Linked DNA regions of Pelodiscus sinensis. The protein of the gene in region 2 interacts with the protein of the main gene of each other region in a biochemical or structural test. Links are inferred from orthologs where the notes say so. Each region holds a gene or a part of one and is shown on either strand. Other genes may lie near its edges. The genes, in order: RLN3 and RXFP3.

The links.
Region 1: the proteins of RXFP3 (region 2) and RLN3 form a complex in vitro, tested with the Homo sapiens proteins (2 studies listed by BioGRID, with this or other methods). The link is inferred for Pelodiscus sinensis from reciprocal best matches to the Homo sapiens genes RXFP3 and RLN3.

The regions. Positions count from the first base shown.
Region 1 is NW_027465944.1:298,533-314,038, forward strand, and holds RLN3 (relaxin-3), read left to right. Parts: upstream 1-9,911; 5' UTR 9,912-10,915; coding exon 10,916-11,075; intron 11,076-12,385; coding exon 12,386-12,645; 3' UTR 12,646-13,062; downstream 13,063-15,506. UniProt on the Homo sapiens protein: May play a role in neuropeptide signaling processes. Ligand for LGR7, RXFP3 and RXFP4.
Region 2 is NC_134716.1:107,509,274-107,524,801, reverse strand, and holds RXFP3 (relaxin-3 receptor 1), read left to right. Parts: upstream 1-8,600; 5' UTR 8,601-9,333; coding exon 9,334-10,584; 3' UTR 10,585-14,313; downstream 14,314-15,528. UniProt on the Homo sapiens protein: Receptor for RNL3/relaxin-3. Binding of the ligand inhibit cAMP accumulation.

The DNA.
Region 1 (15,506 bases), on a different chromosome or scaffold from region 2:
ATCGCACTGTTGATTCATATTTCAGCCTGTGATCCACTCTACCCCTCAGACCGTTTTCAGCTCGGCGTTTACTCCTCGTTTTATACCTGTGCATTTGGTTTTTCCTTCCTACGCAGTGCTTCGCACTTGTCTTTACTGGCTTTTATCTTGTGGATTTCAGGCCAATTCTCTAATTTCTCAAGGCCATTTTGAATTCTAATCCCTTCCTCTCAGGCGTGCAATCTCTGCCATCTCGGTGTCATCTGCCAATGTTATGAGCATAAACACCCCTCCATTAACCAGGTCATTAGTGAAAATATTGAACAGTACCAGACCCCAGACAGACCAGTGCCACGTCCCCCCTTCTTACCAGTTTGACAATGAACCAGTGATAAGTACTCTCTGAGTACAATTCAGATAGACTACAGGTCTCCAGTTTGCTTATGAGACTGTCATGAAGACTGTGTCAGAAGCCTTACTAAAATACAGATATATCATGTCTATTGCATCCCCCATCCGGTAACCAGGTGACGCTGCCAAAGAAGGAAATTAGGTTGGTTTGGCATGATTTGATCTTGACAAATACATGCTGGCCATTACCCTATTGTCCTCCAGGTGCTTACGAACTGATTATTAAATAATTTGTTCCACTATCTTTCCAAGTATCAAACTTCAGCTGACTGATCCAAGTGAGCTCAGACAACAAAACTATCTCATGTGCCTGTAAGGCCTTTTCCTTCTCCTGAATGCCAAGGAGCTTATCAAACCGGCAGGCACGTTATACGTTGGCATTATCACTAAAATGCAGCCATCGCTGGGGGAAGGGGGCACATGGCAGCTGTTTAACAGCACACAGCAAGGCTACAGGAGGAGCGAAGAAGCCCATATCCAGCTGAAATGCCGGAGGCAGCATGGAATCACCTGAGCAGGAATCTGGCCAGGACCCTGGGCTAGCAGCCCGAGCCTCAAGATTAAATCTCATATTTCATAACGGTGGGGGACCGGTCTCAAGGGGCTCTTTGTGCTTACAAGTCCCACAGAGATGCTCGAGAACCTTTCTGCTACACAAAGGAGGGGACCACCCAGCAAAAGCTCCACTGGCCACCCTCCTCACAGTTCTGACATAAGAACCGGAAAATGAAATTGGTGAAGAAATAAAAGTGAAAGCGGCCAGTCTGTTTTCACTGGCCAGATTCAGCCCTGGACCCAGCATCAATAGTGAGAAGTGAATCTGATTTGTAAATTATCTTCATTTTATTCACTGAAGGTGTGATGAGTAACACAGCCTCTGGAAATAATATTCTGTACTTCTACCACACCATCCCTTGTAACCATTTATGAATTAAACTTCTTAACACTTTTGGGAAGTGGGTGTCATTATATTCATTTTATAAAGGAGGAAACTGCGGCTGAGGGAGGTTAATATGGTTTACCTGAAGTCAAAGAGGAAGTCTCTCATATAGCTAGAAATAGAAGCCAGAACTCTAGACAGTCAGTACTTTGATCACAAAACCCTTCCTTTCCAAAGGAAGGCAACAGCACTTAAAAACATATTATCTTTAACCTGTGTGTGCCCCTTTATTTGTATTCATTTTAGTATTTAATGACACAAAGGGTCACAGCTCCTCCACTGACCCTTTATAGCGACAGATTTGTTTCACCCAAGATCAAAGTAATGGTCTATTCCATCTTGTCTCTTTTTCTTGTTTGACACAGCAGCATGGTAATCAAAGCAGCACTTTGTTTTCCCAGTTAGATTCCCCTCTACATGCATCCTATAAAGTACTGGAATGTCTTCACAAAACATGTGATTTGCTTAAAAGGGACCAGTCAACGCTGGCTGGGGCCAGTTTGATACAAAAGGGCATGGATGACAGGAATGGATTCAAACTCTCTCGGCTTTTGGAATGACAAATCTACAGCAAAGATCTCTGATTAGACGGTGTAATCCTGTAAGGTGCTGAGCACTGCCTATGGCTTCAAAAGACGTTGCGGGCACTCAACACCTCACAAGATTAGTTCCTGTATCTCACCTTTTGCAGCTTAAGATCCTCCTCTTCCTTCTCACTCAATCTAAACTGAACAATATCTATACAGCTCCTAGTAGCTATTGCCTCCAAGCCTCATCTCATCTCCCTCCTCCCTGTTTACTTGTCCCCTTGCAATTTATTTGAGAAATGCCCAGAAAGAAGCCAATGGGCAAGTCACACAAAGGACTCACAGACACACCAAGATAAACGCAGCATCATAATAAAGTTATGAAGCAGTCACATGAACCACAGGAAAACATATAAAAGGTGCAAATCCACCCCCTACTGAATATGTAAAGCCAGGGAGTGGGTAATTTAGCACCACAGAGCAGGTAAGTTTCCTGTTGAATGGTCCCTAGCCGTAATTTTCGTGAACTGCTCCACTTTTGTTGACAGGATTCAATTTACTGAGAACATTTCTGGGTCTGGAAATTGTTTCCGGGCCCTGGGAAATGTGATCATGATGTCTCTCCTCGGTGATATTTTGATGCTATGTTGTCATCTCCCAGTGCCACAGTATGACAGCACAATAACGCTTTAACACAGTCACAATGACATTTTACACAAGCATGAGCAACGGCAGCTTTGATGGCATTTTGACACAAGAGTGACCTGTCACCCACGGCATGATAGCGCTTTGGGACGTCAGCCTGCTGCCTCGTGGAGTGGACGTTCCAAAGGGGCACTGTCATTGCCTGTCCCCTTTTGACTCCACACGATGGCTATCGAGGTAAGATATCATCGTCGCCTCTCGTGGCACAATGCTGCTCTGTGGCAAGTCCCCCTTTGGCCAGGAGGGGTTTGATAACTTACAGCGATATTATGGACACAACGAGGAGCCCTGTAGCACCTTAAAGACCAAGAGATTGACTTTATGCCCAAACAAATGTGTTAGTCTGAAAGGCTCCACAGGACTCCTGGCTGTTTTTGCAGACTCAGACTAGCACGGGGACCCCTCCGGGATGTGACGCTGCATCGTCTGCCCCTGCGACACTGGTGCTCTGCCGCCATCGCCCGTGCGGGCGCACCGCCCTCTCTGCACGGGGCACAGCGGTTCAGATGCCACGGGCCGGCCTCGTGACCCCCGTGGCATCGGCGCCCCGTGATTCGATCGGCACTACCCCCCCCCCCCCCCGGCTGGCCAGGCAAGGCCTCGTGACGACACCAGGGACCCACCATGGCCAGCCGGGGGGGGGGGCGGGAGTTCACCAGGAGCGGCCGTGCAAGGTCACCACGAGACAGTGGTGAGGAAACCATCCCACCTCACATTATGACATCATCGGCCTGACACGTCACACAGGCCGTGACATCACAGGGAAGCCCCGCCCCCTTCCCCAGATCGGCGGGCACGGGGGTCCCCATCGTAGCCCCCCCCACGCGGCGCCCCGCCCTCTCCGCGACCCCATTGGCTGCCCCCTGCGCCCCGCTTCTTCTGATTGGCCCGCCCGCCCACCAATCACCGGGGAGCACGGCAAGCCCCGCCCACCGGGCCTGGGCCCTTCTTAATCCCGGGGCAGCGGCCGGCCCTCAGTCGAGCGAGGGCGGCGCCTCCGGCGCGGGCGGCCCCGAGGCTCCCCCCGGCCGCGTGCCCCCCCCCCGGGGCGCGCCCCCCCCCCCCAGCAGCCATTTTGTGAGGGGGGGGTTCGAGTCGGACCCACCTTCTCGGTCCCTCCCCGCGGCCCGGTCCCGCCGCCCCGCGGAGGCCGCTTCGCTTCAGGCTCCGACGCGCCGGGCTCGGGCGGAGCCGCCGCTCATCGGCCGCGGCGGGGCCGGGATTTTGGCGGGGCTCGCGTAGCCGGCGGGGGGGAGGGGGTCCGCTCGCGGCGGTTGTTGTTGTTGTTGCCGGGTTTCCTGGTCGCCACGACTACGGTGGCTATGGCGCCCTCCGTGTTCCCTCACCGGGGCAACTGTTGCTACCCACCTCGGCTGCGGGCGGGGCCGAAGGGGGGGAGAAGGGAGGCCCCTGCGGTGATTGGTCGGAGCTGGCCGTTCCATTGGGTGGCCTAGCTGTCGCTCTGCACCGCGCTCGCTCTGGTTGGCTGGAGGCCGTGCCCTTCAGATCACGTTCCGCCTCCCACGCTGGATGGGATTGGCCTGTTGGGCAGGACGCGTACTGATTGGCTCCTCTCCACGTTTGACTCCACGCTGATTAGGCAGTTCCGCCGTCTGTCTGGGGAAAGGGCGGGGGGGGTGAGGAGGCGGGTTGGGATTGGCCAGTCAGGGAGTTGGCGGCTTGCGATTGGTTACAGCCCTCGTCAATCAGCTGTCTGGTAAGCAACGTCTGGGGATCGTAGAACCGCGCCCCAGGGTGGGACAAGTGCGCGTGCGCGCTCTGCGCCCGTGGCGTGATGGGAAATGTAGTCCTTGGCTACCAGAGGCCAAGCGTTACCTTGCCTGCTTCTGCTACGGCTTGGAGGGGCCGCTGTCCCTCTCCTGCCTTGATCCCGTGACGTCACTGCTCGTGGTATGATGTCACACCGCGCTTCCTGCGGGTATTGCAAAACTCCACAGTGATGTAATGGCAGCCGTGGTGATGTCACTCACTGGTGTGCCCCTAAACTAGTGCAGAGCCCGAAAGCTGTGCCTGCGGCATGCCCGGCCGGGGCGATGGGGCCCCTCGAGGCAGGCTGCTGCTCTGATCCCGTGTGCCTGGGATGCTCGTCACGGCTCCCGCCTGCATGAAGAGGCAGGACGGTGCAGGGGTGAGGCTGCTACCTGAGAACTTGGGCGTTGCTGCCTCCGTTTCCTGCTCTGCTGCAGCCTCCCTGTGTGACCACTGGCAACGGGCCAGGACTCGCTTCCCAATCTGTGCCAGGGCGTTACTCACACTGCCCTCCCTCGCAGGGGCTTGGCGAGATCAATGCATTAAGAGATTGCAAGGCATTCAGTCGCTGTCATAAAGAGGGTCCCATAGGAGACTCTCCGACTATTAAGCTCTGCTGCAAGGCAGATGCTATTAGCTGGCCCTCTGGTCTGTCCTAGCATAGTCAGGAGTCAAACTGGACAATGGGAAGAAAGACTGCTGTTATGGTAGCCCCAGGAGCTGCAGCCGTAGGCCAGGAACTTATCATGCTGGGCCCTATACAAAGAGAGACCAGAAAGATGCTTCCTGCCCCAGAATGTGTATTCTCTCTCTCAAGTCAAAGGAACACATGAGATAGTATCAGGTTCCAGTATCTCCCTTTTTTTGTGAGCACTGCAATTATTGTCAATATTGACCCTTTAAGAGCCATCATTAGGTTTCAGAGGGAACAATCCACTGAGATACACGCACTTCTCCAAGCCGCTGGGCCGGACTCTTGCTTCCCTGCTCCATGTGCCACCATTAAGCCTTGTTCAGAGTGAGGGCTATGCTCCTGCACTGACCTGGCAACGTCTTACGCTGACTTGGCCTGCAGAAAAGAATAAATACACAAATGGTCGACAGTGGACAATAAGATTCTCTGCAGTCATTACCGTATCCTTTCCTTCCTAAGGCTCTATGCAGCTGCCCCTTGCCTTAGTGTCTGGTCATCTGCAGCTGGGTCCCATTCCAAAGGCTTCTCTCTGCAATCATTTATGTTTTAAACCACACCAGTGCTGAAATCTTGAGGCTGGCAATAGGGGCCTCCAGAAAACAGAGTGATCCTGCCACTTTCCCACTGAGCATGGCAGGTCCTTTCTGCCTGTGTGCTTTAGCCTGGCCCGTAGGGACCCCGGTCACTCTGTCAACGTTCGTTTCTGAGCCCTTTCCATCCTGTCCCTGTCGGCTGAAATGGACAATGAAGGAATTCATCTCTGGACCTAACCACCTCAGCCACCAAATCAGAGGCTCATTTAACTGCACATCCAGTAATGTGGTCTATGCCAGCCATGCCCCACTGCGATATATATTGGGCAAACTGGACAGTCCCTACGGCAAAGAATTAATGGACACAAATCAGATATCTGAAAAGGGAACTCCCAAAAACCAGTTGGGGAACACTTTAACCTCCTTGGACACTCAAGGGATCTCCAAAAGTTGCTGTTTTGTTACAGACCAATTCCACAAGCCAAATACACAGAGAAGGACTGGAACTCCACTTCATTCACACGTTTAATTCTTGTGCAGATGGTTTAAATCACCATATTGGATGGCTGGGACATTATCAACCAAGCACACAATGAAGGTGCCAATGGTTCTTGACCTCTGTGTAGAATCTGTTGTTACTCCTCCTCTCCAAGTGCAAACTAATGGTTCTTATCAGCCTCTTTGAACTATCTAGTCTTTGAGGTGCTAATAGACTACTAGGTCATTACCTACCTATCAAACAATGAGAGTGACAATGGTTCTTTGTCTTTGAAGAATATCATTGTTTCATCAGTCTTTAAGTGTTTCCTGACTCTGTTTGCTAATTAATGGTTCTTATCTTCCCCTTTGACTATCTAGTCTTTAGGTGCTTATAGACTTGGCTTTCCCTTGATATATTTTTTGCCCACTGCCTTTTCTTGTCTCCGCTCCTCCCCCAATTTTCCATTCTCCTCCTCCTTCCCCCCCTATTTATTTTGTTCCTAGACATCCAACGCTCCAGTCATCTGAAGAAGTGGGCTGTGTCCATGAAAGCTCATGATAACATCTCCATGTTTTATTAGTCTACAAAGTACTACCAGACTATTTGTTGTTTTTTTCAGTTTACCTGTACAGACTAACTTGGCTGCCCCTTGAAGCTGTTTTTCCTGTTACAGACTGGCTCTGCTTTCCCTTTGAAACTTTTCTACCCACTGCCTCTTTTGCCTCTCCTCCCCCGCCCCCGCCCCTTCTTCCTCCATTTATTCTTGGTTCTGGACATCCAACACTCCCGTCATCTGAAGAAATGGGCAGTACCTGCAAAAGCTCATGATACCATCTAGGGCTGTGTCTAGACTGGCCAGTTTTTCTGGAAAATCAGCCGCTTTTCCGGAAAAACTTGCCAGCTGTCTACACTGGCCACTTGAATTTCCGCAAAAGCACTGACTTCCTACTGTAAGAAATCAGTGCTTCCTGCAGAAATGCTGTGCTGCTCCCGTTCAGGCAAAAGTCCCTTTTGCGCAAAAGGGCCAGTGTAGACAGCTCAGATTTGTTTTCCGCAAAAAAGCCCCGATGGCGAAAATGGCGATTGAGGCTTTTTTGCACAAAAGCGCGTCTAGATTGGCCACGGAGGCTTTTCTGCAAAAAGTGCTTTTGCGGAAAAGCGTCCTGCCAATCTAGACGCTCTGTTCCGAAAATGCTTTTAATGGAAAACTTTTCCGTTAAAAGCATTTCTGGAAAATCATGCCAGTCTAGACGCAGCCTAAGTGTTTTGTTAGTCTATAAAGTGCTACTAGACTGTTGAAGTTTTTCCTGTTACAGACTAACTCAGCTCCCCCTCTGAAGCTGTTTCCGAGGCTTTGTCTACACTTAAAAGTTTAGAGCACAGCTGAAAATGTGGCCAAAGCACAAGCACAGAGAGAGTCTCCCAGCGCTGCATGTGAACCACCTCCAGGAAGGGAGCAGCTAACACTGTGGGGACTGTGGTTCTCCATGCTGTAGCCTGGCTCGCCCTGGTGCTTTACAGCCCTGTAACTTGCTGGTTTTCTGTGCCCCAAGCCAGAAATTTATAGCGCTAGAAAGCACCAGTGTAGACTTAGCCTATGAATCCTGAATTGATACTTTAAGGCCTGACTCATGCATGCAGCATGGCTAGTATTCAAGGGAGGAGCGGGTTCAGGGCATGCCAGTAGCAGGTGTGACACATCCTGCCATCGCAGGTTCAAATCCCCGCTCTGGCTCTTGCCTTCAGTCTGAAAACTGAGCTGCTCGGTGAGCCCCGCTCTCGGCGAGGGGGTGTAAATCCAAAGAGGCTGCTGTGGAGTGGCCGTAGCTCTGCTGGGGCAAGGGCTGACTTGGTCTGCAGCTTGTGTGCAACATGCCTCTAGACGTCGAGTCTCAGGCGGTCGGTGGAGGGCAGAGGCTCAAGGGTGTTTTCCGTGGGGTGGGCGGGGTAGAGTTCCTCCCAGGGGTAAAAGTAACTGAAACTTCTAAGAGGTGCCGTTGTCACATTGTGGGGCAGAGCGTTGGGGGTTGTGTGCAGGGGGAGGAGAGGCTGGGCCAGTCCCCCGTCAGTTTCCCACTCCCACCCTGCTCCTGGCCCAATGGGGGCTATGGCTGTGGGAGGACAGTGCCTGCAGGCAGGGGTGGGGGTGTAAAAGGCAAGGGAAGGCAATGACTTCCTAAGCTGCCAGCCTGTCTCCCCCCCACCCCCGAAGTCTCCTGGGGCTTCAGGCCTGCCATGGAAGCTGGGACCAGGCACCACTTATGCTCTGGGGCTGGAGAAGACGCCCACCGTCCCTGTGCTGCAGGGAAGGCTGGAGCTGCACTCCACGCACCATCCCCATGCTCCCGGGGCCAGGGAGAGCTGGGGCTGCGTACGGCCTGCACTCCCTGTGCTGGAGGTAGAGCAGGGGCACGGCTAGGGCTGTGCGCCTCCCTCTGAAGGGGGGCGGCTTGGCTCCCACGGGGGCCCTGGGCAACAGAGGTGGGACCTCAGGTGGCAGGGACGGTGCTGGGGCTTGCCTCGCCCAGCCGTCAGTCCAGGACAGGCTGGGAACCCCACCCACGCTGCTGGCAGGCGCTTGCCTGGGGCCCATGTGCATCTCCACCTGCATCGCCCTCCCACTGCCATCTTCTTACCGGTATAGTGCACTGGGGTGCACCAGCCCACCCCCCACTCCCTCTGTGCATGGATCATCCGTTCACACACCCCTGTCGTTACCCCCCAGGGTATGTGGGCTGATTCCTCCCCGCTCCAGCCCCCGTGCCAAAAGCTTCCCATGCGCCCAGCCTGCTGCAGAGCGAACGGCACACGAGCCTGGGGAAAGCGGAACTTTGAGGCTGGCTCCTTGGTCTCCAGAGAATAAGCCACGTGCAGGGAGCTGCGGCTCGTGGCCCAGGTGGAGGGGGGAGGGTGCGGGCTGCTCGGGAGTTTGAAATGGTGACAGGTGTCACCTGGCAGGGCAGGGCCGGTGCCGCGCTGCAGGCAGGGTTATCTCTGCGCCGCAGGCTGGCCCCTGGCATTTGCCGCACGGCCCCAGGCCTCGCGCGCCCACGGGAGAAAGGACGTAATTGAAAGGAGATAAGCAAAGGTCGCTGCCGCTCCTGCTGTCTGGGGCGCTGGGGGACGCGCTGAAGGAATGAGATTGCTGGGGAGAATGGAGAGAGTGGGGTGATTCGCCTGTGGCTGCCTGTGTTCCTGCCCCACTGCCTATAGCGCCCCCTGCTGGGAGAGGCTGGGACTGCAGGACCTGGGATCTGCCCCCCCCAGCCAATACTCCTGCCCCACTGCCTATAGCGCCCCCTGCTGTGTTCCTGCCCTGTCCCTATAGCGCCCCCTGCTGGGAGATGCTGGGACTCCAGGACCTGGGATCTGCCCCCCCCCCCCGCCAATACTCCTGCCCTGTCCCTATAGCACCCCCTGCTGGGAGAGGCTGGGACTGCAGGACCTGGGATCTGCCCCCCCAGCCAATACTCCTGCCCTGTCCCTATAGCACCCCCTGCTGGGAGAGGCTGGGACTGCAGGACCTGGGATCTGCCCCCCCCCCCAGCCAGCGCTGCTGTCCTGTCTCTATAGCGCCCCCTGCTGGGAGAGGCTGGGACTGCAGGACCTGGGATCTGCCCCCCCCCAGCCAGCGCTGCTGCCCTGTCCCTATAGCGCCCCCTGCTGGGAGAGGCTGGGACTGCAGGACCTGGGATCTGCCCCCCCGCAGCCAGCGCTGCTGTCCTGTCTCTATAGCGCCCCCTGCTGGGAGAGGCTGGGACTGCAGGACCTGGGATCTGCCCCCCCCCAGCCAGCGCTGCTGTCCTGTCTCTATAGCGCCCCCTGCTGGGAGAGGCTGGGACTGCAGGACCTGGGATCTGCCCCCCCCCAGCCAGCGCTGCTGCCCTGTCCCTATAGCGCCCCCTGCTGGGAGAGGCTGGGACTGCAGGACCTGGGATCTGCCCCCCCGCAGCCAGCGCTGCTGTCCTGTCTCTATAGCGCCCCCTGCTGGGAGAGGCTGGGACTGCAGTAGCCATGAGCCACTCCCCCACCGCTGGGAGCCTGCACTGCTCCCTAGAGCGCCCCCTGCAGGGAGAGGCTGGGACTGCAGCAGTTGTGAGCACCTCACAAGCCGCTTTCTTCCAGCGCTCCCTATAGGGAATGGTCCGTCTGCCATGCACATGCCTAGGGGAACCAGCAAGTCCCCATAATGACCCCAGGGATGGAGAGGGACAAAGCAGCCAGGACTCCTGGCTCCATCCCAGCTGCCTGAGACACCTCAGGAGAGTTCCTGACCTGCTCTGTGCCTTAGTTTCCCCCATAGTAGAGTGGGGTTAATGATCCTCTCCGGAGGTGGGCGGGGGGGAGAATCCAGCCCAAAGGAGCGGGGCTCTCGGAAGCGTCCGACTTTCCGGGCAGTGCGGCCTGGGCAGCTCCGACCCCGGCCGCCCTCACTGCAGGAGTGGGGGAACAGCAGAGGGGTGCGAACGGCAGATCCCTGCAGGGAGGGAGTGTGCGAGCGGGAGAGACAGCGCAGGGAGGGCCAGCGGGGGCTGCCTGTCACTCACCGCCCCCCCATGTCCCTCCACCGCCCGGCGCGGCGATAGCCAGCAAAAAGGTTATCAGCGTCTCGCTCCCTGGCACCCGGGGCTGCTGCCCCCTGCCCTGCCCCCGCATCCCCGGAAAGGTCTCGCCGTGCCACTCGAGCGACTCAGCCGCCTAATCGGGGGAGAGCATGCCAGAGCCGGCGGCCAAAGGCCACCCCACGTGCGGCCTCTCCGCAGGGCTCCTCGGCGGGGGAGGGGGTGGGATGGTATAAAGGGGGGCGCGGCAGGGCTCCGGAGGCAGCTGGGAGCTCCTCTGGCCTGGGCGCCCGTCTCGCCACACCAAGCAGCCATGCCGAAGCTCCTCCTGGCCCTGGCGTTCGGGACGCTGCTCTGGGAACTGAGGCTGGGGGCCGAGGGCCGGAACCCACCCTATGGCGTCAAGCTGTGCGGCCGGGAGTTCATCCGGGCCGTCATCTTCACCTGTGGGGGCTCCCGCTGGAGACGGACAGGTGAGAAGGATGGGGGGGTCCCTGCCTGGATTCCCACTGGGAGGGGAGCAGGGTCTTCTGGTTGGCACGGGGCGGGGAGCTGGACCTCAGGACTCCTGGGTTCTAGTCTTAGCTCTGCCACTGGCTTGCAGCTTGCCAGCTCACTCCCCTGCCCCGTGCCTTAGTTTCCCCCTCTGGAAAACAGGGCTCCATGTCCCTCCTTTACTCCCCAGCAAGTGGGGAAGGGAATGAGACATGAGGAAACATTGGGGGCAGCATGTTTTGTTTAGGCACCATCCAGAAGTGACTGTCTGCTCCCCCAGCGCTGCAGGGGTGGGTTGTGGGTCACTGTTCAGTTAGTAGGGGCAGCACAGGGAGCCTGGGTCGCCCAGGAGGGCAGGTCTCGTGTCCCACCTTAACACCCGCCCCCCCCCCAGCAGCTCCCAGATCAGAGTTGCTCCAGCGAGAAGTCAGCAGCTAACAGCAATTTTTTCCCCCTGGGGAATTTTCTGCCCCTTTCCCCCTCGTCGCCCACCGGCCAGGGAGATCTGCAATGGGGAGCACACAGGGCCAGGAATGGGGGTTGCCATGCCTCATGGGCTCAGTCAGCTGGAGGAAGAGGAGCTGATCCCTATTGCCTGCTCCGTGAGAGGAGCCAGGCTGAGGCCAGCAAGGGATATGGGGGTTAGGGTTGGATTTGCTACTTGGAACTTCTCTGCTGTTCCCGCGGCAGGTGCTGCCCTGCCAGAAGGGGGCGCTCTAACCCCTCTTGGCCTTTGCAGCCGACTGGAGGTGTTGGGGGGTGTTGTGAGCCCCGGTGCCACCCAGCCCTGCTACCTTCCCCGGCAGCAAAGGTGGCAGGACTGGGATGTAGCTGGCCAGGACTGTCCCCTCCAGTGAGCCGCGGGACTTGAAGGGTTGGCTGGTGGTTAAGGCACTAGCCTGAGCCTTGGCTGCTATTTCCAGCTCAGCCACTGGCCCTGCTAGGGGGACCCAGGACCAGCCTGAAATAGTTTCAAAGGGGGCAAAAAAAAACCCCAAAATGTAAGAATCCCTCACGTATCAGAACGAGAAGGCAGAGACTGAAATAGTGTCAGTGGTGTGTGGCCTCCCCTGCTGGCTGGACTCCGCACGGCTCACCTGTGAGTCATAGGCCCCATACTGCTACCAGTAAGAGGGAGATTTTCCCTTCAACTCAAGCAGAGAGGTCAATGCTCCCGGAGTAGGGGGAACTCGCCTTGCCGTCTACAGGAAGTTGTAACCTTCCTGGGTGCGGTCCCTGGTCTTCCTCACTTGCTCTTTGCACATTAACCCCTTCCCTCCCACTGCAGGTGACCTCGAGATCCTGAGCGGCCCCCCTGGCGGGGAAGACTCCACAGAAGCTGCCTCCAGCGAGTGGGACGTCAGCCGCCTGCCCGGGATGCTGCCCCTCTCCTCCGACTACCACGAGAGGTGGCGAGGCAAACCGGGCCGCAGCCTCTCCGAGGACAGCTGGCCTTTGGAGCGCGCCGCCCGGGACGTCACGACGGGGCTGAGCACCTCCTGCTGCAAGTGGGGGTGCAGCAAGAGCGAGATCAGCTCCCTGTGCTAGAGGCGGGCAGGGGGCAGCGCATGGCGCCGCAGGTTGGCACTCGACCTGCAGCGGGCGTCGGGGCCATGCCGGTTGGCACCCACGGAGGGTCCAGCCCTGGGATGGTGGCTGAAAGTAGAAACCCACAGTTCCCTGCCCTGCAGCTGCTCAGCAACCTGGGAGCCCTGCCCGAGTGAGGACTGCAGGGATCGGGCTGTGGAAATGTCTGTCATGCTGGCGGTGCCCCCCACCCCGGGGAGGGGCAGAGGTGAACTCCAGGGTCCTGGGGCATGCTGGGATTGGAGGCTGAGTTTCGATTTATGAGGAACCAGATGACAAACCCCACACCACACACACACACGCGCGCGCGCGTCCAGTTGGGTCACCCCCACTTTGCCTCCTCTTGCGGTTGTAGCCGGGGTTCAATAAAAGATCAAAAGAAACTAAGAGCGTGAGCTGGACTTGGATTGAGGGTTCTGGGCTGCAAGTTCCTGCAGGTTGGGAAATCCGAGCTACTTTGCAGGGGCCGGCCCTTCCCCAGAGCGCCCCCTGCTGGGGCTGGCCTTGCCAGAGGCTTTCCCCCAGAGCGCCCCCTGCTGGGGCTGGCCTAGCCAAGGGCTTTCCCCCAGAGCGCCCCCTGCTGGGGCTGGCCTTGCCAGGGGCTCTCCCCCAGAGCGCCCCCTGCTGGGGCTGGCCTAGCCAAGGGCTTTCCCCCAGAGCGCCCCCTGCTGGGGCTGGCCTTGCCAGAGGCTTTCCCCCAGAGTGCCGCCTGCTGGGGCTGGCCTAGCCAAGGGCTCTCCTTCCCAGAGCGCCCCCTGCTGGGGCTGGCCTTGCCAGGGGCTCTCCCCCAGAGCGCCCCCTGCTGGGGCTGGCCTTGCCAGGGGCTCTCCCCCAGAGCGCCCCCTGCTGGGGCTGGCCTTGCCCGGTGCTCTCCCCCAGCTGCCCACACTTGCTTTCCTGCCCTCTTGGGAGAGGGCTCTGAGCTCCCCCTCTGCTGTTCTGCCCTGCTCCCTGCAGCGCCTCCTGCTGGGACTGGAGCACCCGAGCGCTCCCTGAACAGCCAGTGCCCCTGCTCCATTCCTGTGGTGCCCGCTGCAGGGAGGGGCTGGGAGTGGGGCAGCCAGTGCCCTGGCTGTTCCTGGCATGGGGAGCCCTGGGGGACACTTCCTCGCATCCCTGCAGGGGGATTTTTTGTGGCAAATTCCAGGAATGAGTTTCCTCTTACCTGAAACCTGCCTGCTGCCTTCTGGCCCGCCCTGGCAATCGATGCACCCAGCGCGGGTTGGGTAACCCTGGCAAGCCCCACGCTGGCCGGGCTCTCAGAGGGTGTTTAGTTAAGCAGGGCTGATAACACAAAGCCATGTTCCGGGGATGCCCTCCACGCTGCCCCTCGCCCAGCGGTGCCCTGCTCTGTGTACCTAGGCACGATGCACCCCACATATCCCCCCACAAGCCGGGGGCCCCGCGGCTCTTGGCTGGGCTCAGAGAAAAGACAGGACTTTTCAAAGGAAGGCGCAGTCAGACCCCAGGGTCCGGGCAGGGTCTCAGAGCTTGGATTCTCCGGCTGGCGGCCTAGCGCAGCGTTTCTCCACCTTTTCTTATAAAGTGCCCCCTTTCAAAAAATTAGAAGTACCCCCAGTACCTACAGTTCTCAGACACACACATTTTTTTTCTCCCATTGCAACACGTTTGTTTAAACAACTTCATTGGAGCCGGGCAGGAGATGAAATGTTTGGGCGTAAAAAGCACAAAAAGAAGGAAGTGCTGTAAAAGTTAATACAAACATTCGGTTTTCTCCACATTTCTGCTGTGTTGACGTATTCCCCCCTCCACCCAGGACGTCTCTCGAGTACCCCTCAGGGTACTGGTACCATGGTTGAGAAACACTGGTCTTTCTAGAGCATGGGTTCCCAAACTGGGGGCCGTGAAGAAATTCCAGGGGGGGCGCGAGGCAACCCAGCCCCCCCAAGTTGTGCTCAACAAGTTTGGCTGCTATTGGGGGGGGGGGGCGGGAGGGTTTCTCAAAAATCAAAAAGGGGGGCGTGATGCCGAAAAGTTTGGGAACTAACTTTTCCCAAACTTGAAAATCAACTTGATTCTAGAGAATCAAACTTAAAATCAGCGAGGCTGATGGAGTCAGTTAGAGAACCCAGGCATCTGGGCACCCAACCTCCTGCGCTAACCACTCAGCCCCACTCTGCTCCTGCTGCCTGGATAGAGCATGAGAGTCCTGGGGGTCCAAATCCCTACTCTAGTAACGACACCCGCTTCCTATCGGAGCTGGGAATAAAAGCCCCAAGCCCTGGCTGCCACCAGCCTCCTGCTCTAACCATTGACCCCACTCCCCTTCAGGAGATGCCCCGGGAACATTGTGTGGCCCTGAAGTGGTTTGGTACGGCACGAGTCCCGGACTCAACGGGTCGCTGTGGGGAGAGAGTATGGGCTAATGGTTAGAGCAGGGAGCCAGGCGCCTGGGTTCTGGCTCCCGCAATGGGAAAGGAGTGTTCTCTAGTGGTTAGAGCAGGCGCGTGGTTCGAGCAGGACTCGCGGGGGGAGGGGAGAGAGGGGTAGTGGGCAGAGCAGGGCGGAGTCACTAGTCCAGGGGCGAACCACAGCAAGTGAAACGCCCCGCCGGCTCCGGGCCGCTGCAAACTTCGCAGACTCTGCCCGGGGGCTTGTTCCGGTGCGTCCGCTCCGCGTGTGCTCGGCCCCCGCGCTTCCTGCTCAGGCGCAGGCTCCTTCCTGACCCCGCCAGCCGGCCGCCTCGGCTCGGCTCCGGCAGCTTCGCTTCCCCTCCCCCTCCCCCTCGGCTCCGGTCCTCCGCCTGACTTTCCGGTGTCGTGTGAACGCGGCCCCGGACTCCCAGCGCAGGTAGGTGCGCG
Region 2 (15,528 bases):
CTATGATTCTATGAAGTCCTTGGAGTACAGAATCTCTGGAGTACATCCACATTGGATGGGTCATCAGTCCTTTTTTCTAAGCTTCAATTCATAGCAAAGATCCTACAGAGGGGAAAAGCAGGATTGAAAACCAAAATGGAGGACTTTCAGGGCCCTTTATATATCTTTGGCCATATAGAGCAAGTGGTGGGCAATAATTTTTGGTGGGGGGCCACTCCTAGATTTTGGAAAGTGGTCAAAGGCCACACTTTTTTGTGGAGGGGGTGCGGGAGGGCATACAGGGTAAGGGACTGAGGTGCAGAAGACAGTGTGGGGTCTCAGAGGGTGTTTGGGTGGATTGGGGTGTTTGGCAGAGATTGGGGTGTAGGGTCAGGGAGGGAGTGTGGGTGCAGGAGAGGATTCTGGCCTGGGGGAAGGGTGAGGGATGGGGTAACAGGGTCTGGGAGGGTGTTGGCACCTGGGGCAGAAGGTGCAGAGGCTTTGGATGGTGATCTAGGGGAGGGAGCTGGGGTGCAGAATAGGCTGGGGTGCAGGAGGCAGGTGCTGGCTGGGAGAAGTTTACCTAAGTGTCTCCTGGCCAGCAGGCTGCAGCACCTCCATGGCAGGCTGGGCTCCCTGCCTGCTGCAGTCCCAGCCTGCTTGAAAATGCAGCCTCCTCCCTCCACATGGCTCTCAATTGGGCACGAAGAAGAGGCTTGCACTGCCCTAGTCTCTCAGGCCAATCTCTTAGCTCTGACTGGCTTGCTGTTTCCAGACAATAGAAGCTGAGTGATTGGCTGAGGTCATTTCTTATTGGCAGGTTGTTTCTGGCCAATAGGAGCTGAGGACTGGGCTGGGGGCCAGGAGATTGCACGAAGCTTCCCTCTGCCTGCAGAACAGAGAATGGCAGAGACAGTGTTTGAAACCATGGCAGCTGCTGCCTGAGGGTCCCAGCAGGGTGGTCCGCAGGCCAGATCCAGTGGCTTGGTGGGCCAAATCCAGCCCCCAGGTTGTATTTTGCCCAGCCCTGATATAGAGGGAATCCCATTGTTCTCCTGTGGAAAAATACAGATACGAAATAGAATTTTTCATATGAGCAAATCACCTTTCCATGCATGACTCAGTTCTTTACAGGTGGATGTGATTGCTCCCATGCTGATCTAAACTAGGGTTGCCAGATACTTTCACACAAAATACCGAACATGGCGGGAAAAAAATTCGTTGAGCAAAAAAACAACAACAAAAAAGAGCCACTGCGCCTTTAAATCCCACTCTCCCTGCCCCTGCCCATACATCCCACTGGCCTTCCATCCAAGAAAAACAGAAAATACCAGAAATTTTACATGTCCAGTATTTTCTGTTATTGTTACCGGACAGAGGCCACAAATACCGGACTGTCCGGGCGAAAACTGGACACCTGGCAACCCTAATCTAAACATTCACAGAAAAGCTCATTGGATGTGAATTGGCCCCACTCAAAGCCCATTGTCAGTCAAATACTTCTATTCACTTGACCAGAAGTCCTGTCACAATAGGCTAGCCAAGCTTCCTATTGGTGTCTCCCAGAAATGAACATTTGAAACATTAAGTTCAAAGCCAACACTCATCACTTCAAATACAAAAATGATACATGCATACAAATGCTATAAACAGAGCCACCTTTTGATAGACACTTCACTTGGCCCACTTTGTACAAGATTTCATGCAAACATATAACAGTGGTTGCAACAGTAAGCTGTTTGGGCACCGTTTAAACTGATAATGTCACACAGCTATATGTGAATAGAATGGCTAGGGCACAATTAAAGGTACGAGGATGAAATCTGGTGACAGTCTACAGATGTGTAAGCTGTAAAAACTGAGGAGGGAGAAGAATTCCTTGTGTTGGTGCTGCGTGATATAGCCAGAAGAAACAGGCTAAAAGCAAGCAAGGAAAATGAAGATTGAATGTCAGTTCAGACTTAAGTCTACAGAGCTGGGATTGTCTCCCAAAAGAAGTGATGGAAGCCCCATCTGTGGAGTCATTAAAATTACTCTACACAAAGAAACAGTGTTAGTTCTATTGTTCAACAGGGAAGAGCTACTACAAAGTAAACGTCAGAACTAGTATCCCAATATTCCCACTTCAATGCTGGCTGTGGCTCTGATTCTACTAAAGAGGTGAACAGAGGTAGTAGAAATCTCTCTCCCATCCCGAAGGCTATATAACAGGTTATCTAGATAACCAAATGTCATCTGTTCTTCTTTGAGGTCCATTTATAGAGAAATTTCAGATATGTTATTTTTAATCTTGTTTCCTTATTCTTCTCTGGGGACACTGCCATTTATCTGGCACAACCAACATCTGGCAAAATTAGGGGATGGACATTGGTAGATTCCTTTCTCCTTATCTTCTGTTTCAATATTGTTCATGAAGGACATTGGAAAGGACATTGACAGCTCACCTGTGATAACTTAAATACTCTCAGTGCTGAGTAAAGGACTTACAATTAATAACTGATGTGCAAAAAAGTTAGCCCCAAAGTCTGCGCATGAAGTATCTGTGAGCAAATTCAAATAAGTGGGAAAAAACAAAATATTCAGAGAGTTTTTGTGACTCCCTAAACGGCTAATCCTCCATCACTCTTCAAGCAATGTAGCTTAGTTGTAAATGGTTACAACTAAGTTAAGTTATAAAGTGTTATTTCTGTTCTCCATTCGGATTAATAGGAAAATCCAGCTGACAATATCATTCACATGTCCAAATTTAATCATGTTTCCAATTCATGATACCACCACATCAGTGGTTACTGTGACATTAGCTACCCATGAAAATTCATGCCATTAAAACCTGTTTACATGAGTATTCCTATAAATCAGAGACAAAAGGATCATAAGTATAGATTTAAACATTAAATATTCAAATCAAACTTTCTACCAAGCTTTATTGCCGGTGTATGTTGATAGCCTTCTCATCTTGGAGGGAGGTTTTCTACTGAAAACCTTGTGTTCATTTCCTTTCTATATCCCAAAAAGGGAGTTTTGGAGGTGAAATTCATCCTTGTCCCAAGACTTATTGCACAACGTCCCATTTAAACTTCTGCTTCTCAATAGGGGGTGTGGGAACAGTGAAACCTTAACATACAGATGAGCTGTAAAACTTTCAGCTGTTAACAATTATTGTGTTAGTACAAGATGGAGGGATCAAAGATACTCAGAGAAGCCAGAGAGAGATCAGATGAGTCCAAGAGAAAAGCCTTGGGAAAGAGGAGAGTCAAATGAATAAAAAAGGTCCCTTTCCTTTAAATAAATAAATACATAAATAAATAAATATTCAGAAAATTGTTGTTAAAGGAGTTATTCTTTGAGCACAGTTCTATAGAGAAAATAAAACCTTGAATTATGCAGATCCCATCTGAGCATCCTATGGTAATTACTCTTTTTAACTAAGTCCATTCAAGACCTTTAATTTTATTACTTTTTTCTTCAATAACAGGAGGAGGAAAACAATCCTTCACAGCTATAAAAATGTCACAATAAGCAGTCTCTTGGTGGTCTCGCCTGTTATTTTTTTGTATTTATAATGGCAAGTAATTAGAAGCAATTATAATAATAAATGCCTTGTCTTTGGAGAAGGTCCAAAAGGAGGTAGAAAACAGAAAGAATCCTTCAGGATAAATAGTATGAAAATTACTATTTTAAATAAACATAGTTAAAGCATATTTGAAAGCCAATTTTAAAGCATATACTGGACAAAAATAATCTCTGGTGTAATTCCATTGCTGTGAAAGGGCCAAATTCTCAAGCTGGTGTAAATCATGTAAGCACCATTGTCTTCAATGGTCAAATAAGATGATTGATATCCATTGAGTATTGGACTGAATAGAGATTATTTAATTACTATAGCTTTATAAAATATGGCCTCAAAAGTGCCATCCTTGGATGTAGGTTAAGGAGCTAAATAAGAAAAACTTCTTTACACAGCATGTCCTCAGCCTGTGGAATTCTCTATTCTAGAGGGTAAGAGGGTCACACACTCTGACTGGGTTTTTAAAAGTGATGGATAATTTTACAGTCAATCTCATTTGGCCAATGCTAAGGCAAGGAAATAAAACTTCATATTTATATTCACACCCCTCAATATATAACAACAATATATATGTTCAGCTACCCCTCTGAAATGTCAGAATAGTATCACAGATGCAGAGCCTCCAGTGAGCCTCAATTCCATCCCTTTCCAAAAGCCTTAGTACATAGATATACTTTGTAACATTCCCTGAACATCAGGGGACAAGGACTATTTCAGACCCTGCCTGGATTCTGAAAAATGTTACAGTCAGGAACATTTATGCAACTATTTATATGTATCAGATTGTTTGTATGTTTGGAGCCTTACTGATTTATGCCAAGTACACCGTGCGTATTCACATGTTACTACAAACTCCACTGATATTCTGATAAAAAAGAAGCACTACAAACAATGTACGTGTTCTGAAAGGTCCTGAATTACATTACTGCATGTAGAAAGTATGAAGAATAGTGTTTTTTGGAAATATAGGAATAATAATCAGGAAATCATTTATTTTATGAATTTTGGGGTTTTTTCACAAAATGTGATTACTTTTTTCACTAAATTTTCCCCGGATACAGAAATGGGTTGATTAATGTATTTACAAATCATTCATTCACCGAATATCACATTACTTTCAAATAAATCATTCATTTTTTAAAATTATTCTTCGAGCTATAGCTTGCTCCTTTTGCTATCCCTTAAAATTCTTTTCCAAGATCAAAAAGAAATGAAGAAGAAAACAGAAGATAAACATAAAGGCTGTGCAAGCAGTTATGCCAGCCATTCTCGTGCTGCCAAGAGATGCTTTAGCTCATATTCAGTTAGAGCAACTCCCACATGCTTTATTTGATCGGCTTGCATTATGAATACATACGTCTTCCTTCTTAATCATTCCCTTCCTTCCATCCCCAGTATTTTGTGTCCCTTTCTTGTTTTGGAACTTCATTACAATTTAGTCTCTATAGTGTACCAACCAAATATGATTGGCAAGAAAATATACAAGTAGAATAAAACTCATTTCACACAAAAGACAGGTTCTGTCTTTTTCCCATTTAAGTTACAAGAAAATTGGGCTTATAGATCTGTGTGCTCAGAAAAGGGCTTTAAATCTTCAGAGATCATGATGAGAAATCAAATTTTGCATTCTGTGTCCTATTAGTTCCTGGCATTTGGATTGGCTGTGAAAGAAGTTAAATGGCCAAATGAAAGTATAAGGAATAGTATTTTTTGGAAATATAGGAATAATAATCAGGAAATTATTTATTTTATGAATTTTGGTTTTTTTTCCAGTAAATGTGATTACTTTTTTCACAGAATTTTCCCCGGGTACAGAAATGGGTTGATTAATGTATTTACAAATAATTCATTCACCGAATATCACATTACTTTCAAATAAATCATTTATTTTTTAAGATTATTCTTCAAACTACTGTATAGCAGTTGAACTATTTGACTTTCAAGTCAAATAAAGATGATTCCTTGACTGCTAATTACAAATGGATGAGGAGAAGAATTTAAAAAAAAACAGAGAAATTGAGCAACCTTCAAGAAAATCAAGAAACTTGTTTGTTGTACTCTTAATTTTGAGTAAGATCTAAAACAATGCTCTGGATATAGGATTAAAGACTCTGCACTGCTGAAAAGGAGACCTTGACATTTCACAAGATCAGACTTGTTGTGCCATGTTCAGATGTAGGCATTTCTACCTTCTCTATATAACATTCTTCTGTAGGTTCCATTATAGGAGGTAGCCTTCTTTGGTTCCTGTCCTATGATACTATGAAACATCATTAAACACCTATTGGATTAAACACCTGGAAGTGGTTTAATTTGGTACCTAGTCAGCGAAGTACTTTGGAATTCTTCTATCTAAAAGGTGCAAATTAAGTTTTTAATAATGAGCAGTATTACCTGGTCATAGCCCCATCCCAATAACTACAGGAAAGGGTGAAGATATGTAAAAGATATAAAAGAAGGCACTTCTTTACACAGCATGCCCTCTGCCTGTGGAATTCTCTGTTCTAGGGAGTCAGAGAGTCACACACTATAACTGGATTTTAAAAGATGATGGTGAATTTTGTGGTTAATCACATTTGGCCAACTGTCCCCGATCCTTTTTTTTTTTTCGATGAATTTTCCCCGGTGGGTTTTTGTTGTTTTGTTTTTGCTTGGCCGGGGCCACCAATTGGTTAGGACCGGCTCTGGTTCTGACACCTCTGCATCACCACAGGAGGCTTTGGGTAGGCTCCTGCAGGAGGACCCTGTGAAGTTGGGATTGGCAAGAATCAACACCCAGCAAGACCTGAGTGGCAGCCCACACAGCCTTATACAGGTACTTAAACCAGGAAGTCATGAAGAGGAGCTATGTGAGTAACACCACTCCTGTCTCCTGATACCTGATTCTCTGCCTGCCTTCTCACCTGTCTTGGACTCTGACCTCCTGGTATCTGAATTAGCCCAACTCGTTCTCTAACCAATTGATCTGACTGTCTATGTCTCTGTCATGCTGACAAGGCTAGATGAACACTGGACACTTCATGTACATAATCTGTTAGTGAAAATCCTATGCTCCTAAATGAGGGCTAACATATACCAGTGCATTTTAATACAGAGTATTTCCATTACAGGAGTACTGAGAGATGCCAATGTGGATTGGAACCACATTGTATTAGGCACTGTACATAGATGAAAATACAGTTTCTCACCCTCAAAAATTTGTAAGTTAATGCCACTATTCTTCAGTTCAGAATGTACAGGCAGAGTGCTATATCTACAGAGAGCCCCAACAAATCTATGTGGGTTCTGCAGTCTGCATGCATGCTCTCACATGCAGGGTCAGGGCCTAAGAAGACAGACAATACACCAAATTTGACAGGAAACACAATATATACTATTTCTATACACATATGCCCTCTTGCAAAGTTTTTAAATATTATAAAAGTTCTGCCAATTATCCTTATATTCTTCTTGAACCTTTATTAACTGCTGATTTATTTTACAGATACCAACACCTAAGTGGGTTTTAAGTAAACTTCAGTTAGAGAAAGGCATTCCATGGCTAAGAGGGAGCGTGTAATAAGGTACAGAAATATCTGTGTGGAAATGTAAATCAAATAAAATCAGTTTACAGACCACGGGGATAATACTTGACTTGTGTAAGTTGCTCTTGTGCTCTTCAGAGGTTATATTTAGAATGAATTGTGGTCAGAAAAATTACTGAATATTTTGAGACTTGGTTCCTAAAGCCCCTTCTTCACACAGACACATATTTTCAATGTATCTGTTGCCTAATTTGCTGACAAAGACATATTTCACTACCTCAAGAACAATAAACAATGTACCTGCAGCAGAACATGCTGTATTTTGTACTGCCTCATGTGCAATATCAGTGCACAAACAAAACGGCCAGCTTGGTTATTTTCCAGAATCTGCATTGTTCCTAATGACATATGTAACCAAAAGAAAAGAGCTGGGTTTTGGACAGGGGAAGGGGTCAGTGCCAGCAAGGAGGGGAGGAGATTTGCTTTGATTTGTTTGTTGTGTGTGTGTGTGTGTGGGGGGGGGAGATGACATAAAAAGGTAAGGCTGCTCCAACAACCCAGTTGCCACTTAAACTTTTCTCCACCCTCCCAGGGGCTACAGCAATGAAACATGGATACTAAGGTTTTATTTGTTAGTGGCTGCTGATTTTCTCGAAACCCTTATTTTATAAAGCACTATTTTCCCCTGAAACCTCAGAGCCCCCTAGTGGCCAATGTTAAAATATTCATAAGGATTTTCTATCAAAGGGTCTCCGCTGTTTGAAGTCAACGGCAAAGCTCAGAGGCACCTCAGTGGGAGAATAATAGGACTCAAATCCAGGGCCACCCACCTAACCTGTACTATTTCTCATAGTAATCCTCTATCGCATTCTTGCGGCCTTATCCAGCGTCTGATGCTCATCTTTGCTGTTTTCATGTAACCCATTCCAAATTAAGAGATAAGGATCATCGGTACCTTCAGCCTTTATTTTAAGAAGTCAAAGATTGTCAGTCATTTAATATTCATCTGTGGTCATTTAACATATTTACCTTTCGTTATAGAAAAATAATTCCGAGACATTTTCAAGTTGCTCACAAAAAAAGGGGGGGGGGGGGAAGAAAGATCAAATAATTTTGGATTCGTTCTGTAGCTAAGCAAAATGTAGTACCGCATGCCTCCAAGGAATCCATGCGTTACAGGAACATTGGATAATGCCAGGTTGGGTTTGTTTATAATCCAAAACATTTGCAACGCTTTTCGTTAAACTGAATTGTCTTGAAGCCGATAGCCACCAAACGGAACCCTGGAGAATGTAAGGATGGAAATGACTACGGTGGGTGTAAAATATCATGTGAACAAAATAACACTGGAAATAAATATCACACCCCATTTATAAGCAGAATTAGTTACACAACAGAACAAATAACAGAGATGAAAGTCCGCTTGCGGCACGGACAAGCCTCATGGTAAACAAGCTCTGTGCTTGTTGAAACTCAACGCAAAACTTGCCACCGGACTACAGGTTTTTAAAAGTTTGGATGCACACAGAAGGGGCAGCTTGGGAGTTTCATTAGACCCCAGATACACTCCACGCTTCATTTAAAGTCTGTAGAGAAGGGAAGCGGGGTTGGGTTCCACGTTGGACTTTGGGATACACAGAGAAGACCAGGGCGGTTTAAAGGGTGGGGGGACCCAGGTGACGGGCGGTTGGACGTGGGGAAGGGCTGCATTTCCTATGCTCGCTTTCTCCGGCGCTGTTCCAACGCAGCTCGCTCCACCAGCGCGGGGGAAGCCAAGTCCCGGCTGCCGGCAGGTGAGTTCCGAGGAGGCTGGGCGGGGGAGAGCCGCCTGCTGCAGGGGCGGCTGCGCTGCTCCCGCCGGGGGTGCCGGGCCGCTGCCGCGAGGCGGGCAGTGCCCAGCCGGACTGCCCCGCGAAGAACCTCGGAGAGCTCCGGGCGCTGCGCACGCCCCCCCGCCCGCTCCGCGGGGGCCGAAGGGGGATATAACGCGGCGAGCTGCGGGCAGGGGAGACGCGCCGGCAGCAGCAGCGGAGCGCGGGGGGCACCCGCCTTGCACCGCGCCACGCCCCAGCCCGGCTGGCTCCCACGCCGGGCCCCCGGAGCCGTCGCGGCGGTCCGAGCCGGTGGCTGCCGCGGGGCGCCAGGCTGAGCATGTGCTTGGCAGGCGAGGGGGGCCCGGGCCAGCCCGCGCAGCGCGGCTCCTGAGCGCAGCCCGGCCTGGGAGCGAGAGACCCGCCCCCGCCAGCCTCCCCCTGCCATGGGATGGACGCCCCCTGCGAGCCCGCCGCCTGCTCGCCGGCCTCCCTGCTGCTGGGCGGGCAGTTCGGCAACGGGACCAACGAGTCCCTGCCGGAGCCCTCCCGGGGCATCGCCCTAGAGCGAGCCGAGGGGCTGCAGGGGGACGTCTCGGCCGCCCTGCGCATCGTCATCTCCAGCGTCTACTCGGTGGTGTGCGCCGTGGGGCTGGTGGGCAACCTGCTGGTGCTCTACCTCATGAAGAGCAAGCAGGGCTGGAAGAAATCCTCCATTAACCTCTTCGTGACCAGCCTGGCGCTGACCGACTTCCAGTTCGTGCTGACGCTGCCCTTCTGGGCGGTGGAGAACGCCCTGGACTTCACCTGGCTCTTCGGCAAGGCCATGTGCAAGATCGTCTGCTATGTGACCACCATGAACATGTACGCCAGCGTCTTCTTCCTCACCGCCATGAGCGTGGTCCGCTACCACTTGGTGGCCTCCGCCCTGAGCAGCCAACGGCGCGGCCCAGGGTGCTGCTCGGCCAAATGGCTGTGCCTCCTCATCTGGGGGGCTGCCATGCTGGCCGCCCTGCCTCACGCTTTCTTCTCCACCACTGCCACTGTCTTCAACGAGGAGCTCTGCCTTGTCAAGTTCCCCGAGGGCCGTGGCAACAGCGCCCAGTTCTGGCTAGGCCTCTACCAGGCCCAGAAGGTGCTGCTAGGTTTTGTGGTGCCGTTGGCGGTCATCAGCCTCTGTTACCTGCTGCTGCTGCGCTTCCTGGGTGAGCGCCACGCGGGCCGGGCCTGTGGCGGGCCCAAGCGGCGGGCCAAGGTGACTCGCTCGGTGACAGTGGTGGTGCTCTCCTTCTTCCTCTGCTGGCTGCCCAACCAGGCGATCACCGCCTGGAGTGTCCTCATCAAGTTCAACGTGGTGCACTTCAGCCCACAGTACTTCTTCTCGCAGGCCTACCTCTTCCCCATCAGTGTGTGCCTGGCACACTGCAACACCTGCCTAAATCCTCTGCTCTACTGCCTGCTCCGCCGCGAGTTCCGCGCCGCCCTACGCCGCCTGCTCTGGCGCCTGGCCTCGCCCTCGCTCACCGCCACACGGCCCTTCACTGCCACCACCAAGCCCGAGCCCGAGGAGCCAGCACTACGCACCCTGGTGCCCGCCGTCACCCCTCCCCAGCCTGACCTCCTCTACTACCCACCCGGCGTGGTGGTGTGCAGCAGCCGCTGGGACATGCTGCCCAGCAGCTCTGCCGAACAGCGCTGTTGAGCTGATGGGGGTTTTTGGGGGCAACGGAGGGGGTGTCTGTGAGGGATGTGCTCTTAGGATCCTCCTAGCCCAGGGACAGTGGGTGTCCATGTGAGACAGACTCAGGAGTGTCCCAGCAGTGAATGGTGGTGTGCCTGTGGAGGATGGTTTCAGGAGAGGAGTTGGGGGATGGGCTCCAGGGAATGTCCTATGATGGAGGGTGTCTCTAGGGGGAGTAACTCTGGGGATTATCCCAGCAGTGGGGAGTGGACTCCTGGGACTGTCCTGGCCTTGAGAGTGATGGAGGTCAAGGGTGTTTGTAAGGGTTTGCCTCTGGGGACCACCCCAGAAGTGGGTGGAGTGGGGGAGGGGCGTCTGTGGAGGTTGGACTCCTGGGTCTGCCCCAGGCTGGCTGTGGAGTAGTGGAAGGGGTATCTGTGGGGCAGTGTTCTTTCCTCTAGGGAAAGGGGATGGCAATGGGGGAGACTGAGGCTCCATATGGCCAGGCTACTGTATGTGGAGAGGCTGAGGGGACTACATGGGGAGCAAGGATTCCTTGGAAGTGGAAGATGCTTGCAGACTTTGTATGAGGAGGTGGCAAGAGGTATGTGAGAAGCAAGTCAGGACTTTCCACTTCCCACTAGAGCCCAGATTGGGAGGGCCTGGCTTTGTTCTCCCCCAGCACTGAGCTGGGGAACCAAGCACGACTCACTGTAAATACAACTGCATGCTTGGCTCTAGCACAGCTCCTTTGAGAACGCTGTTCATGGAGCATTCACTGCAGCACTTCACCCTCTGTTAGCCTGTTTCAAAGTGAAATGATTCACACCGATAAACAAAAACTAGAGTAACTGATATTTGGGATCTGAGTGCTGCTGAGAAGGGGAAGGGGCTTTTTTCCCCCTAGTTCATTATTTGTAATTATAAACTTTGCAGTAGTTGTGAAATGTTATGTCCTACCATCAGCTATTGTTGTCAATCATTTGTGGTCAGAGGGTACTGTATCTGTAACGGATCATTGTCTAGAAGGAATCAAGCCACTGCATTGCCAGTTTTAAGGACAGGCTATTCAAAGCCCTATGCCAAAAGGCACCAGGGGGACCATCTAGTCTGATATCCCATAGAACACCAACCACAGAACTTCCACAAAATCATTCCCTAAAGCACATCTTTTAGAGCAACATCCAGTCCTGATGTAAAGATTGTTACTGATGAAGAATCAGCCATGAGTCCTAGTGAGTGGCTAATTAACCTCAGTGTTAAAAATTTACACCATATTTCCAGTCTGTATTTGCCTAGCTTAAAAATTTCCAGTCCTTGGACTGTGTTATAACTGAGCTGGATTAAACAATGAGGAGTCCTGTGACACCTTAGGGTACATCTACACTGCTTGGCTATTTCAAAATAAGCTATTCCGGAATAGTTTTTTTGAAATAGCTTATTTCAAAATAACACATCTACACTGTAGGGATGCCTCAAAATTAGTGGTTCTCAACCTTTCCAAACTACTGTTCACTTTTCAGGAGTCAGATCTGTCTCATGTATTCAGGTTTCACCTCACTTAAAAACCACTTGCTTAGACAAGCAGATATAAAAGTGTCACAGTACACTAATAGTGAACAATTGCTGACTTTTTATCATAGAATTATAAAATTCATCAATTGGAATATAAATATTGTACTTACATTTCAGTGTACAGCAATATAGAGCAGTATAAACAAATCATGGTTTTAGATTTTAGTTACTTCACAAGTGCTTTTTATGTTACCTATTATAAAACGAGGCAAATATCTAGATGAATTGATGTATCCCCTAGAAAACCTCGGCATACCTCAAAGTATGAGGCATATTTTCTCACCCTTTAATCAATCTATGTGCTTCTCTGAATCCTCTCCTATTTACCAGACCCCTCACAGCATTCTAGCAGTAGTTACACCAGTGCCAAATACAGTGGCAACATAGCCTGTCTGCAACTACTTGAGATTCTGCTGTTTATTCATCACAGGATTGCATTAGCTCTTTTGTCCACAGCACCGCACTGGGAGATAATGGTCACCTGATCATCCACCCTGGCCCCAAAATTTTCTGAGTCACTGCTGACCAGGATAGATTCCACCATCCTGTAAGTATGGCTTGCATCCTAGATGTATATACATTTACACTTCCCCATATTCAACCATGTTGCTTACACCATGTTAACGAAACAATCCTGACCACTCTGTAGCAGTGACCTGTCCTCTTCATTAGTGACCCCCTTGCCATATTTTGTGTCCTCTACAAATTTTATCAGTGATGATTTTGTTTTCTTCCTTGTAGTTTATATAAATGGTTGGACCTCCCTGGTCCAGCATCCACGGAACCTGACTGGCCCTGGATGAGAGATTTTGATAGACCAGGGGAGGTCATTTCTGGTCCCACTGTTGCTGGCCCCATCTGGCTTGCCAGCTCCTGTCCCTTACCCACAGTTCAGCTGAGCAGCGCGCTGAGCTTTCCAGCTCCTGGCCCTCCCCTGGCCCAGCCCAGCTGAGCCATGCACCAGCCTTCCCTGCTTCCATCCAGCTCCCTCCCCAGGCAGCTTCCCAACTTCCCTCCTCCTGGGCAATCCAGCTGAGTCACGCAATGGGCTCGTGCTCTCCCCCCCCCCCCCCACCCTTGCATGTGGTCATGCTGGACCACGGATGTTGCCAGACTAGAGTCCCAGTTTATAGAGGTGCAACCTGTAGTATAGAGCTAAGAAAAGATATTCAGTTAGCTAGACAAGCTCTATTTTCCATAAACCCCTGTTGATTTGCATTAATTACTTTATCCTCCTTTCATTTGTTATTAATCAAGTCTGCTACCAGCTGCCCCTTATCTTAACCAGGATCAATATCAGGCTGACCAGCCTATAATTACATGGGTTAACCCATTTACCATTTTTTAAAATTGGCACATTACCTTTCCTGTAGTCTTCTAGAATTTCCCTAGGGCTCCAAGAGTTACTGAAAAATCAACATTAGTGATACAGCAAGCTCATCAGACAGAGCTTTTAAAACTTTTGGGTGCAAGTTTTCTGGACCTGCTGACTTAAAACATTTACTTCTAATAGTATGGAATTGAGTGTTATCATAAAATGAGACATTTGTTTTCTCCCAAATGCAGACAAATATGAATATAGAGGTCCTTGGCAGAATTTCCATGTGTCTGTTTTTGTTCATATCTGCTATTGTGGATGTTAGATCTCCAAAGATCATTGGGCTTTATTCATATAAAACATGCCACAAGAGGTCATTACATGCCTCTTGTCACAGTTCATACATTCTAACCCATGATGAAATGGATGAGGGTGTCAAGGATGAGACCAACCCCAGTATTTCAGCTTATGGAGTTTCCTATTCATCTGGGGAGACAGACTTGTCCCTTTGTTGTGTGGAAGGATCCATTCCATTAGCAGGACTGTGAAGCTACACTGATTTCAGGAGATCTACAGAAGACACAGTGCAAATGTTGTTGCCTCTGTTATGTACATGGTCCCACAGCAGCTTCTGTAGGATCTCTTTTCCCAGGTGCTTCTCCTACACAGCAGCCCTTGAAACTCGGAGGAAAAAGAGTTCCACAGGGCTAAGAGAATGGGGAGGGAGGAGGTGTGAGACTGAAGCACAAGGTTAGGCCATATTAATTTGCATTTCTTTCTGCTGTGGGCTTGGAGAAGAGAATCTGGAGGAGCCCCCTTCTGCTGCTGGTCTGACTTCTACAATTACATGAAGCTGGAAGTCTAGGGAATCCCACAGAGGGAAAAGAGAGGAAAGGGGAAGAATGGATTAGAGGGTAGAATTTCCATCTTACTATAGATTCTTCTGGACTAGAAGTTTTGCTCCTGTTGTAGCTCAAGCTACTAGCCAATAATTTGAGTTCATTAACACAATTGTAAATTTGATACCCCAGACACTGCACTGCTGTTCACTCCAGAAATCAAATGTTTGGGATTCCCCTCTGGGCTCAGCCTACAGTGGATCAGAAAAAGTTGTGAACTGGAAAAATGGAGAACATGCATTGGCATTTAAAGTTGCATGGTTAACTGGAGATCAATTAACCCCACTTACAACAAGAGCAAAACCTCTAGTATAGACAAATTTCATCTGTGAAATTCACTCCTGTCAAATGAAGTGGGTGGAAAAGGGGAGGGAAGTGGGGTATTCCATAAAATGGCATTCTGGTGTCTGTGTGTGGGGGGGGGAGGGGGGAATATTCCCCATTATGGCCATAGAAGATGAGGCCTTCAATTTTTGGCCAGGAAAACCTTGCATTGATTTCAATTGGAATTTTACTCAGTCCTAGGGAGGTACGAACAGAGTCCTTCTGGATTTGGCCCATGCTGTACATGCTAGTGAAGCCCAGGGTAGAATTAAGACTTGCTCCTGTGCTCAGACTGCAACTGGTCCAGTCATTGAAACCAAAGAGCCATTTATCTGCCTCAAGACAATTGAGACCTATCTGGTGGTATCTTTATAACCCTGAACACTGACTGAGTAGGGTATTAGAGACATACAGCAGTGTTCACAAAGCAACAATAAGCTAAAAGCAACTCCGTGCTCTGAGTGTCCCTACCCTCTGTTTGCCAGAAGCTGGGAGTGGAGGAAAGGGGATGGATCACTTGATGATTACCTGTTCTGGAAGTCAAATCCTACTGAGGAAAACAGGAGCATAAACTCTTGTCAAATTAACTGTAAAAATATAATTTTAAAAAGCCCAAAAGGAGTTTGAAGCTAGCCAAAAACTCAAAGTAATAGCAAAATGTTCTTTAAGTATATCAGATGTAGGAAGCCTGCTGAACAACCAGTGGGGGCGTTGGACGATCAAGGTGCTAAAGAATTACTCAAAGATAATAAGGTCATTGCAGAGAAACTATATGAATTCTTTGCTTCAGTCTTCACAAATGAGGATGTTAGGGAGAATCCCAAACCTGAACCATTCTTTTTAGGTGAC